Linked DNA regions of Oryzias latipes. The protein of the gene in region 1 purifies or fractionates together with the protein of each later gene. This does not show direct contact. Links are inferred from orthologs where the notes say so. Each region holds a gene or a part of one and is shown on either strand. Other genes may lie near its edges. The genes, in order: srprb, stx18 and srpra.

Region 1 (3,753 bases):
AATATCCCGTGTGCGTAAAAAGCGCGCTGACTGCCAGGGTTAGACGGAGTGCGTAAAAAGCGCATCTGGTCTCCATTGAGAGCCACAAACGTTCAGTCTTTATATAAAATAATGTGAAAAACATGTCAGGAAGCAGTTCATGCTCCGAAAAGTTTAATGCATTTCATTTTTTTAAACCGCAAACAATACCGCGGAAGCACACAACCCCAGAGTACTGTTTTAAAGTTTTGCAGCATACCAAAAGTTTAAACAGGGCATTGTAAACTTTTGGTTTGAAAAAACTGGAAAGGGCAAAAACAAGAACTGCTTCGGTATAAGAATAAACTGAAAATGTGTTCACAACCATGTGTTTATATGCAATAACGAATTCTGATAGCATTTCACTTTAAATACAGCTTGATGCTGGTTTTCAGAAATTCCCCCATAAAGTAATAGAAACAAGATTAGATGGTTAAAAAAGGTCCTTTTTTAACCAAGACCTTTTTTAACCATCTAATCTTGTTTCTATTACTTTATGGGGGAATTTCTGAAAACCAGCATCAAGCTGTATTTAAAGTGAAATGCTATCAGAATTCGTTATCCAAAAAATGATTTTGATTAATTGGACCAAAGTTTGAGGGACAAGCCCTTAATCAATTGTATTGACAGGGAACATGTGTTTCTAAAATCACATGTTGATTTTTATTGAATTTTGAGTTTAAAAAGACATACATACACACACACACACACACACACACACACACACACACACACACACACACACACACACACACACACACATATATATATATATATATATATATATATATATATATATATATATATATATATATATATATATATATATATATATATATATATATATATATATAAAATAAAAAAACATATATATTCCATAAAGTAAAAAAAAAGATAACGATTTCCCTAGGAGGTATACAAAAACAAGCAACAACAACACAACTCATGAAATAAACTCATCAAAAAAGAATCACAATAAAAACAAATAAGGATGATCAACAGCTGATAAATTAGGGGGGAAATAAATATTTTATTTAGTTCAAACAAACCAAAAATACATAGGTCTATGGTGGAAATGATAAATAAATTCTTTAATATTGTGTATCTAAAAAACCTCCAGTTTTCTTCTGTTTTCCTGAGTGCTGCTGAGCAGCGCCCTCTGGTGTTCGTTGCGTAACACAGGCTAAGGAAACGTGTCCCGTTTCAGATGATCCGGGGCTGATGGAACGCAGCGTCGGTGGAGACATGGGAGGAAAAGAGGACGCGAAGATGCTAGAAAACACAGTTAAACAATTCATCGAGTATGTCCGCAAACAGGTTGAAGAGCAAGACCCAGTTTTTCTGATCAGCGTCGTCGTGGCCTTAGCGGCGATCATCATCACCTGCGGTAAAGTTTGCGTCAGTCTCTTACCGTTAACCGATTAGCTTAGCATGCTACTAGGCCAGGCATGTGGCTCAATGGAAGTAGTTTGTTGGGAGTTTGAGGGGTTTGTTTCTGCGCGGGGTCAGGTTCTAGCATTCAAATGTGTGTTTATGAACAATTTTAATTGTGCTTTTACGGTTGTAGCCGCATTGAAAATGGAGAAAGCTAGCTGCTAAGCTAAAGCTAGCAGCTGTCTGTTGCGCCTCACAGGAAGCCATTCAAACTTTGCAGACTAACAAACATTAAAACTCTCTGCTTTTTGTCTTCAGTTTTTCTGAAGTACTTCCTCACCAGCAAAACCGTCCGGAGCGCCGTGCTGCTGGTCGGACTGTGTGACTCCGGGAAGACCCTCCTGTTCAGTCGGGTGGGTTTGACCTCTGACCCGCTGGCTCCTGCTGTGATCCTGAGGGGACTGTTTTGATGGTGGCTTTTCTGTTTTCACAGCTAGTATCAGGGAAGTTCAAGCGAACACAGACCTCCATCACTGACAGCAGTGCCCCTTATAAAGCCAAAAGTGATAAGGTGAGGTTAAGACATCAAAACAACAACATATCAAGCCATGTGGGCTGGTTTCTCAACGGATTGTGTCGTCTTCTGATTCCAGGGCACAACTTGGACTCTGATAGACCTGCCAGGTCATGACAGTCTCCGGGCTCAGTACCTGGAGAAGTTCAAGTCAGCAGCCAGGTGAGATGCTAAACGCAATGGCTGGATTGTTTCATGTCAAACACACTTAGGGTTGACTTAATAGGGTAAACAAACAGTTATAAAAGCCGTTATTCTTATAATTCACTTCAGTCCAGATCATTACAGTTCGGACAGATTGAAGGATAATAGGTGGCTATGAGATTAAAGGATTTTTTTGATGTAATCCCCCCTTCTGAGCACGCAAATGAACAAGTATGGAGAGGAAAACTTCTAAATCAAAACATTGTTAGAAACCTCCAGCGGAAGATTTGGTTGATGGGACCATATACCACAACTGATTAAAGACCCACTCCAATAAAAATTGGGGTTTTAACATGTTCTTGTAGATTTATTTTTCTCCTGATGGAGGACATTTAAAAAAAAAAACTACTAAACTACATTTCTGAGTATTTCTTTATTTAAATCGTTGTGAATCAGGAGCAGATGAAAAAATATATTTTTTTTGATGCACCACTAATGTTAGCTTGGTGTTTTAAGATAGCGGGAGAGCGTATAAAGAAAGGGATCATGGGAAGTCAGGCCATGCTTACTCTGTGCCAATGGCCCCAGCCCACAATTTCTAAGTAACTCCTGCTGCTCCTTCAGCATAATCCTAATAAAAAAAAAACACAAGGAAGAAGTTTACAATAGATCAGAAGATAATTGGAATGGGCCTTAAACATACATACGTGCAGATGAGAGTGCAGACAGGGCCGAGTACGTTTTCAACACAGCGTCTGCCTCCCAAACTCTTGGACTAACATGATGTCTTAAGGCTCTGCCACCGATTCTAATTGTGAAACTTTTGAGATTAACCTCTAATCTTGCTGATTTAGAATGAAGATTCCTGTCTGGAATATATGGAAACTGGGATGTATTTAAGATAAAATGATGCTAATCTTTTTGATGCTTTGTGTGTTCAGAAATTCCAAAATCTGTGTGAATTAATAGAAGTGAAGCCGAAACCCGTAGAAATGTGATCTGTTCCAGCACTGCTTTTAGATTTTGTGTTCTTCCCTTTTACTGTAAAGTTCTTGTTTGAAACTCAGCTCAAGTGCCTTTGAACCAAATCAGAAAAGGGATTTTGTCTCTATGATTACAGTTTGGGCATTCATAGCACATGCATTTGCGTCATGGTGACACTTGGAATGACTCCTCCTTTCTATCCTCAGAGCTATCGTGTTTGTGGTGGACAGCGCCATTTTCCAGAAAGAAGTCAGAGACGTAGCCGAGTTTCTGTACGTCCTGCTGACCGATAGCGTGATCTGCCGAAACACCCCAACTCTCCTGGTGGCGTGCAACAAACAAGGTTTAACATCCTTTTTGTTTTTTATTGCGTAAAAGCCATTGACTGTATGTGAGAACTGGACTGAGTTGCTGCTTGTGCTCCAAATAGAAAGTACCCGCTGGTCCCAAAAAGCCGAAATCCTATAGACTTCTATTGAGAAATTAACAGCTATTACTTATCAAAATAACCATTCTTGCTCTGCTACCCTTTATTAACGTGTTTTTGCTAATCCTAAAACAATGTTTAATATTTTTGCTGTAGCACTAGTTATTCAAATTATAAACTGACCAATCAGATGCTTCAATAAAAGTAGGTGGCCTTGTGTTGAACCTTCGAA
Region 2 (3,753 bases), on another chromosome or scaffold:
GTATTTAATGCCGCTACAAAAGTACACGACCAAAACGTGGCTGGTGCAGATCTTCTCATGTCGTCTTCAGGCTGATGGTTGGTGACATTTAAGATTTTACTCCCCCGTGGGAAATGTGAAAGTGGTTCTTCAAGGTTTTATTTGAAGACATCTGCTTAAGTCAGATAAATAACTGCTGGGGCAGAGCAAAGGCCGTGTTGCCCTGTGAAAAACGGGTGCACACTGATGTCTTCTAAACTCTTCACCAAAAACTAGTCTTTATCGGAATATTAATCTATAGCTGGAAATTTGGAGAAAAGTTTATGTTCAGCATGCTGTCAACTTCCTCCGCCTTCTGTGTTCTTTACTGACCTACACCAAGTCTAGAACATCCAGAATTTGGATTCAAAGACCCATAACTCTGAAGATGGTTATCACACCGAACGCAATTATAATGGGGGCGACATACAATGTTAAGCCAATGTACAGACTTGATCTGAGGTCCGGCAGCGTGATTGTAGCGTCAGGCGCAGCGAGGCAGACCGGCAGCAGTGCGTTTTGAGTGTCGCAGCACGATTTGGGTGTTGTGGCGCATCCAGAGTAAAAAAAAAAATCTGACTTTTGGCGAGGTTGAGGTGTCACTTCACCCATTTGATGTGTTAAGGGGTGGAGTAAAAATCCACTGTGGAGGATCGGTCCAAGCGGCCTTGTCCTGATCTACCATCCATTTGCTTATCACGCTACATCGCTTTTGGGGCTGCAGGGTTGCCAGAGCACATTCTGGTTATTGTTGGGCTAAGGTGAGGCACACCCTGGACAGGTTGCCAGTCTGTTGCAGGGCCCATGGGGCTGAAGTGACCCCACCCACTGCACCGACCCCCAGGAGGCTGACGGGGGGGCAGATGAGAGAGCAGCCGCAGCTGCTCAGGCCTTCTGAAATTTATGATATTTTATTTATTTGCTTTAAGAAAATAATAGCGCTCTTGCCTCACAGCAAGAAGTCCTGGTTCAAGTCCCGGCTGGGGGACCAGAAACAGAACACCAATGGGGGACCTTTCTGTGTAGAGTTTGCATGTTCTCCCCGTGCATGTGTGGGTTTTCTCCGGGGACTCTGGCTTCCTCCCGCCATCTAAAAACATGCTTAATTGGTCCCTCCAAATTGTCCATAGGTGTGAACGTGCGTGTGCATGGGTGAGTGGTTGAGGCCCTGTGACAGACTGGCGACCTGTCCAGGGTGTCCTCTGCCTTCGGCCGCAAGACGCCGGGATAGGCTCTGGCAGCCCCGTGACCCCGAAAGGGATCAAACAGATTAGAAGATGAATGAATGCATTGAGAAAATAATTTTTAATAAATTCCGTCTCAGATTTTTTCGTAAGGGAAAGTCAAAATTAGCTCTTTTTTATGACTCTTTTAAAGCTGAAGTAGACAAGCTTGATATTCAACGATGTCGACTGTTAACTGTCCACATGGGAAAAGCAGCAGACATGCAGGTAGCGAAAGGGAGAAGATTCTTCTTCTTCTTCTGCGTATTTACTGTTGTCTACCACCTGTAATAGGAAGAGGCTCAGTGTGCAAAGTGAAAGCTGTGAAAATCCCGCAAATCTTGCTCCAGACGTTTTGTTTTCACAGCTTTGTTCCTGTAAATGTCCGTCTTGGAGTCCGAACACAAACCGCAAATATTATTGTCTCCTTCGAAATCATGTTTACAACGGTTGGTACTTCCGTGGCGGACGCCACCCTCATGTCACTACTAAATCCGAGTCTCAGATTGGTTGCAGGACTGCGATTAAGTGTAAAATTGTTTAACCAGTTGAATTTCCAGTAGTGAGCATGGTGACCGAATTGCTTTGAAAATTCAGGTCACTATATAGTTTTGCAGTAGTTAGGGGTTAGGGTGGGAATTCGGACACAAACACTGTGTTGGTGCGTTCATTGCAGGAAATTATTTTATTGTTGCAGGTGTTAATGATTTCAAGCTCCCATAAGGAAACAAATGTAAACATTTATTTGTTATTTGAATGCAACAAAATGACTAATCGTCCTCTGAAACATTAGATTTTCCACTTTTATCAATCATCATAACAGGCATACAGGTACACAGATATGTATTTAAAATTAATTACATGTATATAATTGATGAAGATTTCAAATTAATATTATTTTATATGAAATCTGTATCTTAGCTATAGTATTTTTTACAGGGTAGTTAGTCTGTTAATAACATCAATCAATCGCTCAAGATTTTTTTTTCAACTACGTTCATCTAAAAAACGTGTAGTCTTTTAGGGAAAAACTAGTGCTACATTCATTAATGCTCACATTTCCAGTAATTGCACAGCAAAGTCTGTAGATTAAAAAAAATTAGGTCAAGTTTATGTTTTTTATGAGGTATTAATTTAAAAGCAGCAACTTTTTTAAAATTAAACAGTTGGGGTACTAAACGACTTAAAAACAGCCAACAATGGTTGTACTTATACGTTTTTAAAAGAAAAAGTAGTGGTGTGTACATTTGTCATATAAAAGGCAATGTTTGTAGAGAAGTTTTATCGTTTCAAATGAGCTAGCATCATCATCATCATCATCATGCTATCGCTAGCTAAGAGGAGCACTCACCACTTCTTTCGCTCTCTGGGTGAAGCCGCTCTTCGTTCTGCTTCTTTTGAAAATCTCATCTTTCGTCGAGTCGAACCCGATCCCTATCGCCTTGTTTCTGGTCTTCACTGTCTTCACGCTGGCTTTAAAAAGCAGAGTGATGTCCACAGCCATTTCTGTGCACGCGCCGCTGTCAACAAGGCGACACGTCATCGACCGGTGACGTCATCAACATGAGACGCCGCAGCGGATTTTTCCCTCAAAGGGGAAAAAGGAAAAGCCTTAAACAGGTTTGCACCGATTAGGATTTGATTTCCCATTAAATCAACACGGAACTTAACCAAAACTCAACATTTGACTGTTTCACTTTGAATTAGGTTGTATATAATGGAAAAACAATAACAGAAAAGGACTAATCTGAAATTATAGGGTTTTAGAAGCGTTAAGGGGAATATCATTTTGAGAAAAATCTAAGGGTTTTCATGAGTTTCTATTTTGTTTAATACGTTCTATTAATGGTTGTTTTATGTGTTTTCCTCGCAGACAAATGCCTCCACAGCCAGTGAAGGGCTCCACCAGCAGAAAGAGAAGACCCAACTGGACTGACCCGGAATGCCTTCTTCTGGCTCAGTTAATACAGAAAAAGCAGAACATAGTCAGAGGAAAGCAAAGCACCGGAGTATCGGTTCAAGACAAGAGGCATGCCTGGAAGGAGATAGTCCAAGCTATTAATGATGCTTTTCCACAGGTCCAGCGCACAGTTTCCGACTGCAACAAAAAGTGGGAAAACCTCCTTGCGAAGGCAAGGGAGGAGATAAAACGACAGAGTAACAAAGGTCAGGAAACATGCATTTTCTTTTTTAAGTTTAGTAACATTGTGCATTTCTGACTAATAGCAAACTTTTGTTTTTTTAATGTTGCAGAAGAAGAGATGTTATTTGAGAAACTTAGTGCCGTGACACAGATAGTTATTTCTGTGTTGAACATCTCGGAGAAGAAGATGCAGGAACAGAAGAAACTTCGTGACGCAGATCCAGCGGAAAATCCAGAAAACAGGCAACACTTTTTCCCCCCCCTATTTCTTTAAGGATGAAAATCATGTTTGTGCGAGTTTTTTACATGTTCTTGTGGTATTTTTTTCATGATGGAGGACATACAGTGGGGCAAAAAAAAAAAGTATTC
Region 3 (3,663 bases), about 15 Mb from region 1:
TGTTATTCAAAATCTCTACAAAAATTACAAAGAATATTGTCACACACTTTTTATGAGGGAAAATAACTTTAGGTTACAAAAGGGAAAGTGAAATGAAAATTTGTAAAGCCCGAGCAGATATCGACGCTACGTAGTTTGTCCAAGTGGGGTTACCGTAGTGTGATGTTACCTTCAGGCGAAAGGACCCGAAAGGAAGTTCCAGGCAGAACGGTTATGGTACCTACAACGGATTGAGCCATCTGGTGGGCCGGATACAGCCCGTGGGCCGTATGTTTGACACCCCTGCTTTAAGGGCTCCCTGCTTTAAGGGTACCGTACTAAACATGCAAAGTTGCTTTATTGATTTGGCTCCTTTTAAGAACAGTGAAACCATGGATCCAAATAAAATAATAGTACAAAAATGTTGGTTTCAAACACTAAACTAAACATTGTGCCATCATTGTTTGAAAAATTTTCACCCATAAACAAATTAAATATACACAAAATCTTTAAATATTTGCTTAGACATTCCTAAAAGGCAATGTTAAGGAGGCTTTGGGTTTTCAAATTTAGAAGAATAATGTAATGGTATATACACAATAAATACAAAAAATCTGTTGTATTACACATATATAAGTATGTGCTTGTTTGTTTGTTCAATATCCCCATTAGCCATCAAGTGGCCCTAGAGAAACGCGTGGTTCTTTGAGGCACAGATTTATTTATTCTCCACACTCCCTCGTTTACTTTTGTGGTTATTCAATCTGCGCAGGCGCGTGATTTGGTGGAGGAAGGAGGGAGCAGGAAAAAGGCGTCACTTCCGGCTGTAGCTCCTGACGTGTCCAAAACAGTTATTGCACCGGCGTGTGGTGCGGTGTCGTGGGATATTTATTATTCGTTTTCTTATTTTATCTGGTAAGTTTTGACCGGTATTCTAGGGCAGCTGCGTGCGGGAACCGTTATCTACGGCGGGTTTTTCAAACGTTGTCTCCTCTTGTCTGTGTGTTTTTAATCCAGAAACGTGGTGTCAAGATGCTGGATTTCTTCACCATCTTCAGCAAAGGGGGGATAGTGTTGTGGTGTTTTCAGGGTGCCGGGGTCAAAGAGTCTTTCACGGGGCCGGTCAACGCGTTGATCCGCTCGGTGATCCTCCAGGTGAGTGGCCCGTCAGGTTATTCCCGTCAGAGGTACTCATTTTGGTTTATTTAGTCTCTGAAAGCTAATGCTAGGCTAGCGCTAGCTAGCTTATTGCGTAACGCTAGTAAACAAAACCACTAATTTTGGGTGAGGGCGGATTGCCAAACTGTTGGAGTTGTTGTATTGTCTGCCAGAGTGACTGAACGTGTTCGGTTGTGGTTGACGCGTGTTTTCATGATGTTTGAAGGAGCGAAGTGGGAGCAACTCCTTCACTCATGAGAGGCAAAGTCTGAAATACAAGCTGGACAATGAATTTGAGTTGATCTTTGTGGTAAGTATCGGATTCAAACAGGAACATGCTGAGAAATGCGGCCAAACGCAGGTGTTGTACAGTCATGAATGAACCAACAATCTGTGTTTATTTTCTCTCTCCAGGTGGGTTTTCAAAATATCCTCACGCTGACTTATGTGGACAAGTTTATAGATGATGTTCAGCTTCGTTTTCGGGATCGCTACAAGAATGAGCTGGTGCAGAAGGGAGCTCTGATGCTTCTCAACAACAGCTTTGAGTTTGAGGACGACTTCCAGAGGATTTTAAGGTAAAGATAAATGTCTGGTGGGTCAAGTTCAGCTGTTTCATTCCCTGGCTGATACTTGGCGGATGTTCGCCGCAGATTCTCAGAAATCCTGCAATCACGTGACCTGGATGAATAAGAAACTGCACAGGGATGGATATTAATGTTCCACACGTCCACTTGTAGATTTAAACCAGCTATAAGTTGGTTTTTGTCGCTGGTGGAACTGTAGTTCTCAGGAGGGCTGTAAAGACTCAGTTCAATAACGATTCAAGTCATCATAATTTGTGGTTGTTGATCCGAATAATAGTCGATTATGGTTCATTTTGAATGATGCGATTCACTGACCTAAAAAGGATCTAGAACATCTTTATCTTCATCCAGTGTGACTCAGAGAGAAATACCTGCTACTGAAGAGTAAAAGGGAAGTTTTCCATATTCCTTGGATTTCTTATGATAATCAATTGTAAATTAAATATGCGTACAAACAGACAAGTAAACAAATGGTAAATGGCGTGTACTTTTATAGCGCTGTTTTACCTACAAGGCCCAAAGTGCTTTATAGTCACTCACACATTCACACACTGGTGGCGGCTGATCATGGGTCGACCGCCCTACCGGCGTGGACATAGAACAGGACCAAGAATAAATGTCCAATCCGTTCACGTTTTAGTTTCCTAAAGTTCCGCCCACTGTTGTTTTTCCACATCCAAAGAATCCAAAGGGAGCATTAGTAGAACATTCTAAATTGTAAATGGCGTTTACTTGTCTACGACACATGTGGGCAAGGCGGGAATCGAACCCGTTGTCCGCCCCTACCGCTGCACCACGACCGCCTACATCCCGTATGGTCACATGACTTTGTTGAACTCATAGTGTTTCCACGCATTGGACTGGAGTGATGGAAGTAACTTTTCTGCTCTAAAAAGCACGTTGGAATAGAAAGAAACCCGAACTTACCACATTTTTAATTTCCAATCTTTTTTTCTTTTTTTTTTAAAGACAACAGTGCACATTTTGTGTCTTTGTTGTCCATCTTTTCACATTTCATGTTCAACTTGTTTCAGAATGGCGTCATCGTATCTACCAGCTGTTGTGTTGCTTCCACAGAAAAGTCCACAAATGCTCACATCTTTCTTTTCCCTGTGCCACTTCCCTTTCATCCATTATGTTTCCAAAACACCGGAGTCCAGGAAAATATTTTAAAGTCAAACGCACCACAGAGTAGATGTAATCTCAAATGTATGTAGAAAGGGGAGCTTTTATCTCAAAGAATCTGCTCTGATTAACTAGTTTGAGTCTTGGAGGAATCTTTTTATGATATACTTTAACATAATGATCACAGATGCCCCAATATCTCCTTTTGCACTTCTTTACACGAGGCAACATTTCCATCAGCCTGTAGCGTTTAGAACAGGAATCCTCCGGTCAAACTTACTTTTCCTTCGGCAGCCATTGTTGCAATTCAAGGAGCATTTTAAAACCGTCCTGTCTCAATAAAAGCTCAGAAGGATGGATCCCGCTGGGATCTTCTACTGAACTTTCCTCAACTCTTCACCACAAGGGAGGCGGAGGAGACCAGCAGGACTCGGAGCACCACCTACATGCGGGCCTTTCAGGAGTCTGAGAAATCCAAAAAAACTGTGAAGTCCATGATTGAGACGAAAGGTGGAGACAAAGGCAAGGAGCAGGGCGGCAAGAAGAGTAAAAGTTCCAAAAAAGAGCGTAAGTTTCACTTCATAGTACTGGCTTTTTTCTTCTTTCTTTTCTTCTAACACACCCTTTTTTCTCTCTTTTGAATCCAGCTCCTGCCCCCGAGCCAGCCAAAGTGGAGAAACCTTCCCCCCCGGCCCAAAAGGCGGTTCAGAACGGGAACCAGGGTTTGACACCGGAGGAGATCATACAGAAGAAGAGGGAGGAATTCATCCGCAAACACACAGCAGGACCTACTGAAAAACCCAGGTGATGACAC

What was found.
Region 2: the proteins of srprb (region 1) and stx18 purify together in Homo sapiens (affinity purification with mass spectrometry; 3 studies listed by BioGRID and IntAct, counting the BioPlex papers as one, with this or other methods). This does not show direct contact. The link is inferred for Oryzias latipes from reciprocal best matches to the Homo sapiens genes SRPRB and STX18.
Region 3: the proteins of srprb (region 1) and srpra purify together in Homo sapiens (affinity purification with mass spectrometry; 6 studies listed by BioGRID and IntAct, counting the BioPlex papers as one, with this or other methods). This does not show direct contact. The link is inferred for Oryzias latipes from reciprocal best matches to the Homo sapiens genes SRPRB and SRPRA.

The regions. Positions count from the first base shown.
Region 1 is NC_019871.2:13,914,276-13,918,028, forward strand, and holds the start of srprb (signal recognition particle receptor subunit beta), read left to right. Parts: upstream 1-1,192; 5' UTR 1,193-1,239; coding exon 1,240-1,405; intron 1,406-1,710; coding exon 1,711-1,805; intron 1,806-1,885; coding exon 1,886-1,963; intron 1,964-2,045; coding exon 2,046-2,128; intron 2,129-3,300; coding exon 3,301-3,437; intron 3,438-3,753. UniProt on the Homo sapiens protein: Component of the signal recognition particle (SRP) complex receptor (SR). Ensures, in conjunction with the SRP complex, the correct targeting of the nascent secretory proteins to the endoplasmic reticulum membrane system.
Region 2 is NC_019863.2:30,761,039-30,764,791, reverse strand, and holds the start of stx18 (syntaxin-18), read right to left. Parts: upstream 2,801-3,753; 5' UTR 2,785-2,800; coding exon 2,593-2,784; intron 1-2,592. Other genes in the region: uncharacterized protein LOC101155681, read left to right, coding at 3,119-3,407, 3,495-3,627. UniProt on the Homo sapiens protein: Syntaxin that may be involved in targeting and fusion of Golgi-derived retrograde transport vesicles with the ER.
Region 3 is NC_019871.2:28,761,727-28,765,389, reverse strand, and holds the start of srpra (signal recognition particle receptor subunit alpha), read left to right. Parts: upstream 1-767; 5' UTR 768-894; intron 895-996; 5' UTR 997-1,011; coding exon 1,012-1,134; intron 1,135-1,363; coding exon 1,364-1,447; intron 1,448-1,551; coding exon 1,552-1,715; intron 1,716-3,255; coding exon 3,256-3,416; intron 3,417-3,496; coding exon 3,497-3,653; intron 3,654-3,663. UniProt on the Homo sapiens protein: Component of the signal recognition particle (SRP) complex receptor (SR). Ensures, in conjunction with the SRP complex, the correct targeting of the nascent secretory proteins to the endoplasmic reticulum membrane system.